Linked DNA regions of Arabidopsis thaliana. The protein of the gene in region 2 interacts with the protein of the main gene of each other region in a pairwise test. Each region holds a gene or a part of one and is shown on either strand. Other genes may lie near its edges. The genes, in order: TIFY8 and ATPD.

Region 1 (5,062 bases), 9.6 Mb from region 2:
TTTGTACTGTTCTCCACGTTGTACCTTTAGTTGTCATGTACTTATATCGTTGAGAATAGCTTATGTTCATTACTAAGTTGATTTACGTCTCTGCTTTCCCCTTTTAGTATATCTCTTGGTGAGTCAAAGTTTCACCATAATTCCGTTGACTTGATTGTAGTTTCAAGACGTGATTGGTACTCCTGCTGGCCGTGTGAAGCTTATTGATTCAATGGAAGGAGTCATGAAAGGAATCCAACAGGTAATCTGAGTTATATTGAATCAGGTATTTGAGGCACAAAGCATGAACTAACCCATCTTACCTATCTATAGCTGTATGATTTGTCATAACAAAATGTTTAAAGTGCAGAAGATTGGAAAAATACAACTTGGGCTTCAAGAAGAGCAGAGGCTCCGTGATGCTTCAAAAGAAAAGTATATAGCTGCAGCTGCAGAGCAAAGAAAATGCTACACTGTACTAAGAGCATACCAGGTTAGCACAAGATAGGAAATAAGTGTTTATACTGAAAAGCCCGAGAGTCATCTACTTACGTAGTGCTAAATTTCTCAATGGCAGGAGGAATGTACTAAGAATGAGAGGCTGAGAAGTCATATATCTGCCATGAACGAACACCTCTGACTCGAAGAAGGGTTTGAATAAGGTGATATGAAGTGACTCTCCTTTCGAGTTACAGCTAACCAGAGTAGAGCCAGAGTTGATTTAGATATGATTCTCTTGTGATGTGATGTATCCATATGCTCAGCCTTACATGGAAATATACGAAAATCGATAGGCCTAGAAATAGTAGGTTTGGTTGACCAATATGTTTATATATGAGCTATGAGAAAATATTATTCTCTAAATCATTGAGGAGATGAGTTTGAATACAAACCTAGAAAGGTACAGAGCATTGTACAAAGCTATCAAGTCAACAAATAACAACTTAGAAGAAGTTGACCAAAAACAAAAAAAAAACAAAAAAAACAACAACTTAGAAGAACAGCCACACTCATCGTCTCTCATATTCAGACTTTAATCATGTGGCTTCTTTTTCAGGATCTGATCTGTGAACCGGATCTCTGATATCTCGTCCCCTTGAGATGATGCTTCCTTGATGCTCTCTACCTGCAAATCATACATGTACATGGTTTTATGGCTCCTCAAACAGATTCAAGTTGATAAAACCCAGAACAGTTGATAACTCTTTACTGTTGTATCCTCATTTTATTATGTCACAATGCAAAATAAGACCTGATTACTCTACTCCACTCAGTATTTGTAAGAAGCTAACCAAAATTTCTGCTGAAATCTGGTTTTCTTTAAAAAGAAGTCACCTGGTTGTGTAAAGATCCGGTGACAGGCACTGGAGGTAGGTTGATGACTCGGCCTTGCACGAAATTCCGGGGGCATTTGTGGTGTTTCCTTAGAGCTGCCTCCTTCATACATTTGGCCTAGCTTGTATGGACCGTCACTTGTGTTGTTCTTCGACTTCGGTTTATGAGACAAACCCGTAGACCATGAGCCTCCGCTTGATCCTGCCAAGGCCATTATCACATCCGCCTGCAAAAAAATAACATTCATCAGATGAACTTCTCAATTCTCTACCTTTTTAGATATCAAAATGTAGTCAAATAACTTGAATATCAAGTGTATAAGTGTTAGGGAGAATCACCTTGTTTGGGTGAACGTCATCAAAGACATGAGCTTGACCGCCATAGAAGATGGTCATTTGCTTAGTACTCGACGCCAAGTCTTTCCGATTTCCGGTACTGCAAATACAAAGTGTATTGAAATGACTCGAAGAGTATCGAAAGACCAGAGACACAAAACACTAGAAGCTAACTGACTTTGAAGGGGCAAAACTTTCGAGCTTGCTTGAGTTTGGCATTGTAAAAGAACTCAAGATACCGGGACCTTTCATCCCTGTTCGTGAACCTTCATCAGCAGCTGTCTGAGCAATAACTGATGGGCCTACGTTCTCATCTTTGAACCTGCTAGTAGACAGCTGATGAAGCAAATGACTGATCTGTCCTCCTCCGCGTGGAGGCTGGTTTGCCAAAGGATTCACATTCATGGAGAAGCTTCCAGGTCCGTTTCTAAGCAACTAGGTTATGACAATGACATATTACAGAAACTGAGTTCTACGTAGCTGTGACCATGGTGAAGTTGTGTAGGTTCTGTTTTTTTTTTAGTTACCTTGGACCAATGCAGAGTCTCTGGGTGCTCCTGAGTCGTGAAGTGAGAATCAGAGTTACTTCTCTTATTTCCTGAAAACCGATTGCTCATGATTGAGCCAGAAACATCACTTCTTGGTCCAAACAATTGTATCCCATCAAGATGATTCCCACCGCCGCTGTGTCTTTCGACTAAACAATGATAAAATATGGATAAGTAACTTAAAGATTGTTGTGGGAGGGAACTCAAGGAGATAGAGAGAGAAAACGAGAGGCAATAAAGAAGGGCCAATTCATATAAAAAAGGATCACAACCTCAAATGGCTATGACCCACCAAACTCATCAGTCAAATTCACTCTCAATGTCCCAACTAATCCACCAGAGGGCATTATGGTTGGGCAGAGAGAGAGAGAGAGAGAGAGAGAGAGGGAGAGTCCTTAACACTACAAGAGGTCAAGCAACCACATGCCCACACACAATCCATGTTCATGTTTCTTAAATTGTCGAACTAAAAAAGCAATGAGGCAAGAAATGAAACAAGACAATGTACATTCACATTTTGTTCAACCTTATGAACCCAAAGATGTTCCATTTTCAACTTAAGAGATCTAATCATAAATGAATTGACTAAAAAATTTGAAACTAACTCACATGATCTCTTACATTTTCAAATCATGGTGAATCAAAGCTCGATCGTTAATCCAGACTAGGGGGAAAAGAAAGAATCCAACTTTAAATCGAATCTATGTAACAAAAGTTGAACTTTCTATAGATAGAAACCCTAAATGTACAGAGGAATCAGCTCAAAACCTCATCAGCGTAAGCACACTACGTCAACAACAACAAAAACATCAGGAGAGAGAGATAGAGAGACAGAGCAGAACCGAGATCGGAGGTTGAGGAGAGACCGCCGAGTCCACCGGCGGAGGAAGCAGAAGCCGTGGAAGGAGTCATCGCCGCTTTAGCCGCCTTATTATCCGGTGGTAGCCTATGGTCAGCCATGGAAGTGGATGCTAAAGTAGGATTCTTGGAGCCTAAAAAGTCATGGAACAAGAGCTTATCTTGTTCTGTCTGTCGGAGACGAGAATCAATATCAGTGGGTCGCTGGCCATTGTTGTGGTTCACCATCATGAAACCAGTGTGTCAGTGTGGCCACTTCGCCACCACATCCTCCGTTACAGTCTTTCTCTCTGTCTCTGGCAGAGTATTATTTCATGGACACACTCAACGAGAGAGAGAGAGAGAGATATTATCAGTTTTTTGTTTTTTGTTTTTCTGGGTAAGTGTATAATAAAGCTTGTCTTTTTCTTCTTCAAGCTACTTTATTGGGTTTCTCTTACATGATTTTAATTCCCTTTAATATTATAATAATCACATCTTTCAAATAATATATGATTAAAAGTTCAGCCCAAAAGAAAAAAGTACGATTGTAAAATCATGGCATTATAGACTCTTTTTAAATTAAGGTTATCATAGATTCATAATGTTATTGATTTGAGAAAGTGAGTTTGTGTATCTAATCTAACCAACACACTATAATTTGGTGTAGTAGTACAATGTTAACTACTTTACTCATATGTGGTTGTTAGATCGATTAGTTAAATAATTTTTATACACATAATTTTATCATTACGCGCCAAATAATCTGTTTTAAAATTAAAATGCAAAATGTATGCATATAACTTTACCTAAATATATGGTTTTGAGATGAGAGTTGTTGAATTTTGAATGATTATAAGTGTTTGATTTCTTACTCTAATATGAGTAAGAGAGAGAACTCATGAACCAACCACTCATGACGAATTTCTATACTCTTAAATGAAATCGATTTTACAACTACTCATGACGATTTTTCCCACTTTAATCTAGTTTAATTATGGAGTATTTAAGATGTTTATTGAAACCACCAAATTAGTATTAGCTGATTTTTTAATCAACTAGTCTCCGGACTGTGATTAATTGGGTTGATAGAAGTATAATGGTCATTTATATGGGAATTGGGAACACGTGTTGTTTTTCTTGTTCTTACTACACAAACCTTAACTAGATGTTTGTGATATGGAGGCTCAAGTATCTGGGTTAACAATAGAGCTAGGGGTAAACTTTCCAGTAGGCTTATGTTCTTCCCATATGAACATAATTCCTTCAACGACAAGACATAGCACGTGTTCTTCAAACAACAGTAGCAGGTCAACTTTAGCAACATGTTTGCTCCAAGTAGCTACCTGATATATATCCACAAGAATTCCAACTATAAAGAAAGTACTCAATAGATATTAAAAATCGAGGCTCTTCAGGAGTACCATTCATGAATAACATAACAGGGTGAGTTTTTCCAAACGATTCTTGAGAGCATCAGCGGTAGATACAGGCTGAGCTCGGTCTTGTCCAGAAGCTTTCGCATTCTTCTTAACAGTTTCAAGAATCGTTGGCCCTGCAGCCAACCCTAAGCTTGCAGGAGTAATAGAACCAGCAACTTTGCCAACTTTATTAGCTAAACTTGATGGATCTGCCCCTTCAAGTGTATCCACAGTTTTGCCATCCTTCAATAAGAAAAGGATTCAGTGCAGTGACAAAGATTCAAGCTTTGTCAATAAGCCAAAAAATTGCAACCAAACAAAGAATCAATATGCCTAAAGTTTACCTTGAAGAAGACGAAATACGGCACAAGAGCAACAGAATAAGCCTCAGATATCTCAGGATGTTCCTCAGCTTCTACCTAAGAAGATAAATAAAACCAATCAAAGTCAAAAACCAATTGAAAGAGATAAAATTCGAACAGAGACGACGAACCCTAAAGAAGTGAGCACGAGGGAAATCAGTAGCGAGATGAGAGAAAACTTGATCCATCTGCTTCGAAGCGTCACACCAAGAAGCCCAGAAGTGAAGCACGAGTGGTGCTCCGCT
Region 2 (3,709 bases):
TCTAGTTCTTATCACATACTTGTGAAGAGAAAAAAAATTAACAACACTCACTTTTTAAGCTCTTTTTGCTAGCTTTGAAGTTTACAACCATATGACAATATTCTAGAGTACTTAGGCGGCTCTAGCCAACTTCTAGAATACTTATACTAATCTCCTAAACCCTAATCTCTAGGATCTTCAAGAATCAGGATCTTCCTTAATCTACAAGCTTATCCCTTTTCCATATTTGACGAGAAGGAAATTCACCATATCTTCTCGACCGACATTCGTCTTTGATCACCATGCCAAGTCAGCAACTTTACTTGGCTTCTCACATCAACCGCTACATCCCTGCCACGTTAGCTCACACGTCCATATCAGTAGTCTCTGCCGTTTAGTGTGATCTGATGCAACTTCTTGATTTCCGACAGCTCCTTGATATCCATCAGCTCACTATTGTCAGAATCTACATCTTCAGAAATATGTTTAGATTTTTAATTAACTTAATCAGCACTAATACAAAAAAGCTATTCTCGAAAAAAAAAGAAGAGTTGATTAATCTTTTAAAAACTAAAAAGAGGGAATAAATTATAAAGCAGTTTCCCTTGTTGTGTGCTTGTAAAATTTTTTTTTTTCATAAAAAGGTATTAGTGTTGGTGGTAATGACAGAGTAATTTAGTAAACATATATTATTTTAAGATTAATTTATTAAAAAAATTATTGATTTAACAAAATATTTATGGAACTTAATTTTATCACTTTCTTAGAAAGTTTTTTGGACAGTCTTATCTCTTTATCATAACTCTTCGTTATGTATTTTGTCAATGATAAATATTTCTACCTTCATAAAAAATGTTTCAAATAATCATGTTTTTAATCATCATTCTTTTTTACATTTTTACTCCTTAAGTTTTTAGCAATCTTTAAAAAATATTTACAATATAACCTTAACACATGTAGATTTATGTAATAATTCAAATATTTGATATAACCTTAACACATGTAGATTTATGTAATAATTCAAATATCTGAATATATATATATATATATATATATATATAGTCAAAAATATTTTGGTTATTTAATACAAAAATAAAAAAAATTGTTAAAAATCATGAGTTCTCCCACGACATCGCGGGAGTCCATAACCTAGTATATAAAATCATTGAAAATCAGTTACAATCTCTTGTTATTCAATTTATAATATATGAAAATATTCAAAATCAAGTGCTCTTCAAAAATTAACAAGTATTTTGTTGAAAACATCGAAATTGTTGTAAACGATTAGGTTTTAAGGATTGTTTCTCTCTGTTATTGATCACATGCCCGGCTCAAACATGGCCTAGACTCAGTGCTACTATATCCAAAATCCTTAATGTGTATTAAAAAGAACAAAAAAAAAACTTAACATGTAAAAAAAAAAAATTGGGTCTTTGGATCCTATGCCCCAGCATCTCTGACACATGCTCTAAGCCGGCACTGATTGATCAATTGTACAAAATACGATATATATATATATATATATATATATATATTATATGGATACAACAGTAGATATTAAGTCTCCTAAAACCTACTAATGTGTCATATAATAGACATCCATAACATAAATTAATTTTAGAGATTTTTAACACTCGTTTAGTTGAAAAATAGGACTAATAAGAGGTATAATTTGAAGAGGTTTAAGAAAAAAAAAATGTTCACATAAAATATTGTAAGAAATAATATCTCATTATTGATCCTTTTATTATAGAAGATTTTAGTTTAGCAAAACTCTATTTTAGCAGAACACATAAAAGGAACAAGGATCAAATCCTTTATGTTATGGATATAACTAATATAAATTTGTGACATAAAAATTAGGATAACAAGAATGAAATCCTTTAAACTCAATAAGGAACACAGATATCACACCAATCAAACAACTCCACGTGTCGATTCCTCACTCCTTCTCAAACCACAGCCTAATCCTTCTGAAAACTCCACACAAGATAAACCTTCTAATCTCCACCGTCCATCTAACCACAATCCAAAATCTCCACCGTCCATTCTCATCTCCCCCAAAAAACCTTACCTTCTTCTTCTTCTTCCTCTCCTCTATCGTCTTCGAGAAACCACAAATCTCTCTTTCTCTCAAACTCTCTCAACAACAACAATGGCGTCTCTTCAACAAACTCTATTCTCTCTTCAATCCAAACTCCCACCATCCTCCTTCCAAATCGCCAGATCTCTCCCACTCCGAAAAACCTTCCCAATCCGAATCAACAACGGTGGAAACGCCGCCGGAGCAAGAATGTCAGCCACCGCAGCATCAAGCTACGCGATGGCATTAGCAGACGTCGCGAAAAGAAACGACACAATGGAATTAACAGTCACAGACATCGAGAAGCTCGAACAAGTCTTCTCAGATCCACAAGTACTAAACTTCTTCGCGAATCCAACAATCACCGTCGAGAAGAAACGTCAAGTCATCGACGACATAGTGAAATCGTCGTCTCTTCAATCTCACACATCTAACTTCCTCAACGTCCTCGTCGACGCGAATCGGATCAATATCGTGACGGAGATCGTTAAGGAGTTTGAGTTGGTTTACAATAAGCTAACGGATACACAATTGGCGGAGGTTAGGTCGGTGGTGAAATTGGAAGCGCCGCAATTAGCTCAGATTGCGAAACAGGTTCAGAAGTTAACCGGAGCTAAGAATGTTCGGGTTAAGACGGTTATTGATGCGAGTCTTGTGGCTGGTTTTACGATTCGGTATGGTGAATCCGGTTCGAAGCTTATTGATATGAGTGTGAAGAAACAGCTTGAAGATATTGCTTCTCAGCTTGAACTTGGTGAGATTCAATTAGCTACTTGAGATTTGGGAAAAATTGTATAAGAGAAAAATTTGAGAATCTTTTTTTTTTGTGCAAGTTTAATTTTTTTTCTCCTCATCTTCTTTCTCTATTAATCAATCATATAATATACAGTACTGATGATATAATAATGATTCTGAGTTTATTATCTTTGTAATTGTTAAATTTAGTGAATTCGAAAACGAATTCGAATAGTATGTTTGCGGATTATGCGTTTTGGGGAATGGTTTTACTGTTAAATTGCGGTTAATCTCGGTTGAATAGAGTAGTGGCAATGTCAACTTATTGCATTGATGAAGGAACATGAATGAAGAAGAACTTTGAACTGTTACATTGTGAAGAAAGTGTAAATCTATGTATGAATGTTTGGTTTGTTGATTGATGTTGGACTGGATTGGTAGGATATACGTGCAAGCCGAAATATGAAATTTATACAAATTTTGAGACCAAAACATTTTAATGATCTTATGAAAACACTAGAACCCCCATCTCACATACTTGTACGATCTACACCAACGATCTCTTTGATCTTGCATATACGGCAAGTCGGCAAACAATAACTCTTACCATACATTACAAAGGAGGTGTGATCATTTAGTTTTGGGGATTGCTTTGATTAGCCTGGGTAAAATACCCGAACCCGAAGAACCAAACCGAACTCAACCCGAAAAAACCTGATCCGAATCTAAACCTAAAATTTTAAAATACTCAAACAGATCTTAAACTTCAAAACCCGAACCCGAACCCATCCGAACCTGAACCCGATCAAATATCCGAACATATTCGAAATATATATATATATACATAGAAATAATTTATTAGTAAGAATCATTTTTACATCAACTTAAGTGTCTAAAATATTAGGATTTTAG

The links.
Region 1: the proteins of ATPD (region 2) and TIFY8 interact in binary tests that used the Arabidopsis thaliana proteins (3 or more experiments, as listed by UniProt).

What each region holds. Positions count from the first base shown.
Region 1 is NC_003075.7:15,715,417-15,720,478, forward strand, and holds TIFY8 (TIFY domain protein 8), read right to left. Parts: upstream 3,452-5,062; 5' UTR 3,287-3,451; coding exon 3,040-3,286; intron 2,347-3,039; coding exon 2,177-2,346; intron 2,085-2,176; coding exon 1,828-2,084; intron 1,750-1,827; coding exon 1,653-1,749; intron 1,541-1,652; coding exon 1,315-1,540; coding exon of another isoform or gene 1,250-1,314; intron 1,244-1,249; exon of another isoform or gene 1,106-1,243; coding exon 1,017-1,105; 3' UTR 816-1,016; downstream 1-815. Other genes in the region: AT4G32560 (paramyosin-like protein), read left to right, coding at 161-241, 350-472, 557-619; AT4G32580 (Thioredoxin superfamily protein), read right to left, coding at 4,462-4,698, 4,800-4,874, 4,949-5,062. UniProt on the Arabidopsis thaliana protein: Repressor of jasmonate responses.
Region 2 is NC_003075.7:6,098,665-6,102,373, forward strand, and holds ATPD (F-type H+-transporting ATPase subunit delta), read left to right. Parts: upstream 1-2,049; 5' UTR 2,050-2,134; coding exon 2,135-2,839; 3' UTR 2,840-3,200; downstream 3,201-3,709. Other genes in the region: AT4G09649 (uncharacterized protein), read right to left, coding at 1,897-2,034. UniProt on the Arabidopsis thaliana protein: F(1)F(0) ATP synthase produces ATP from ADP in the presence of a proton or sodium gradient.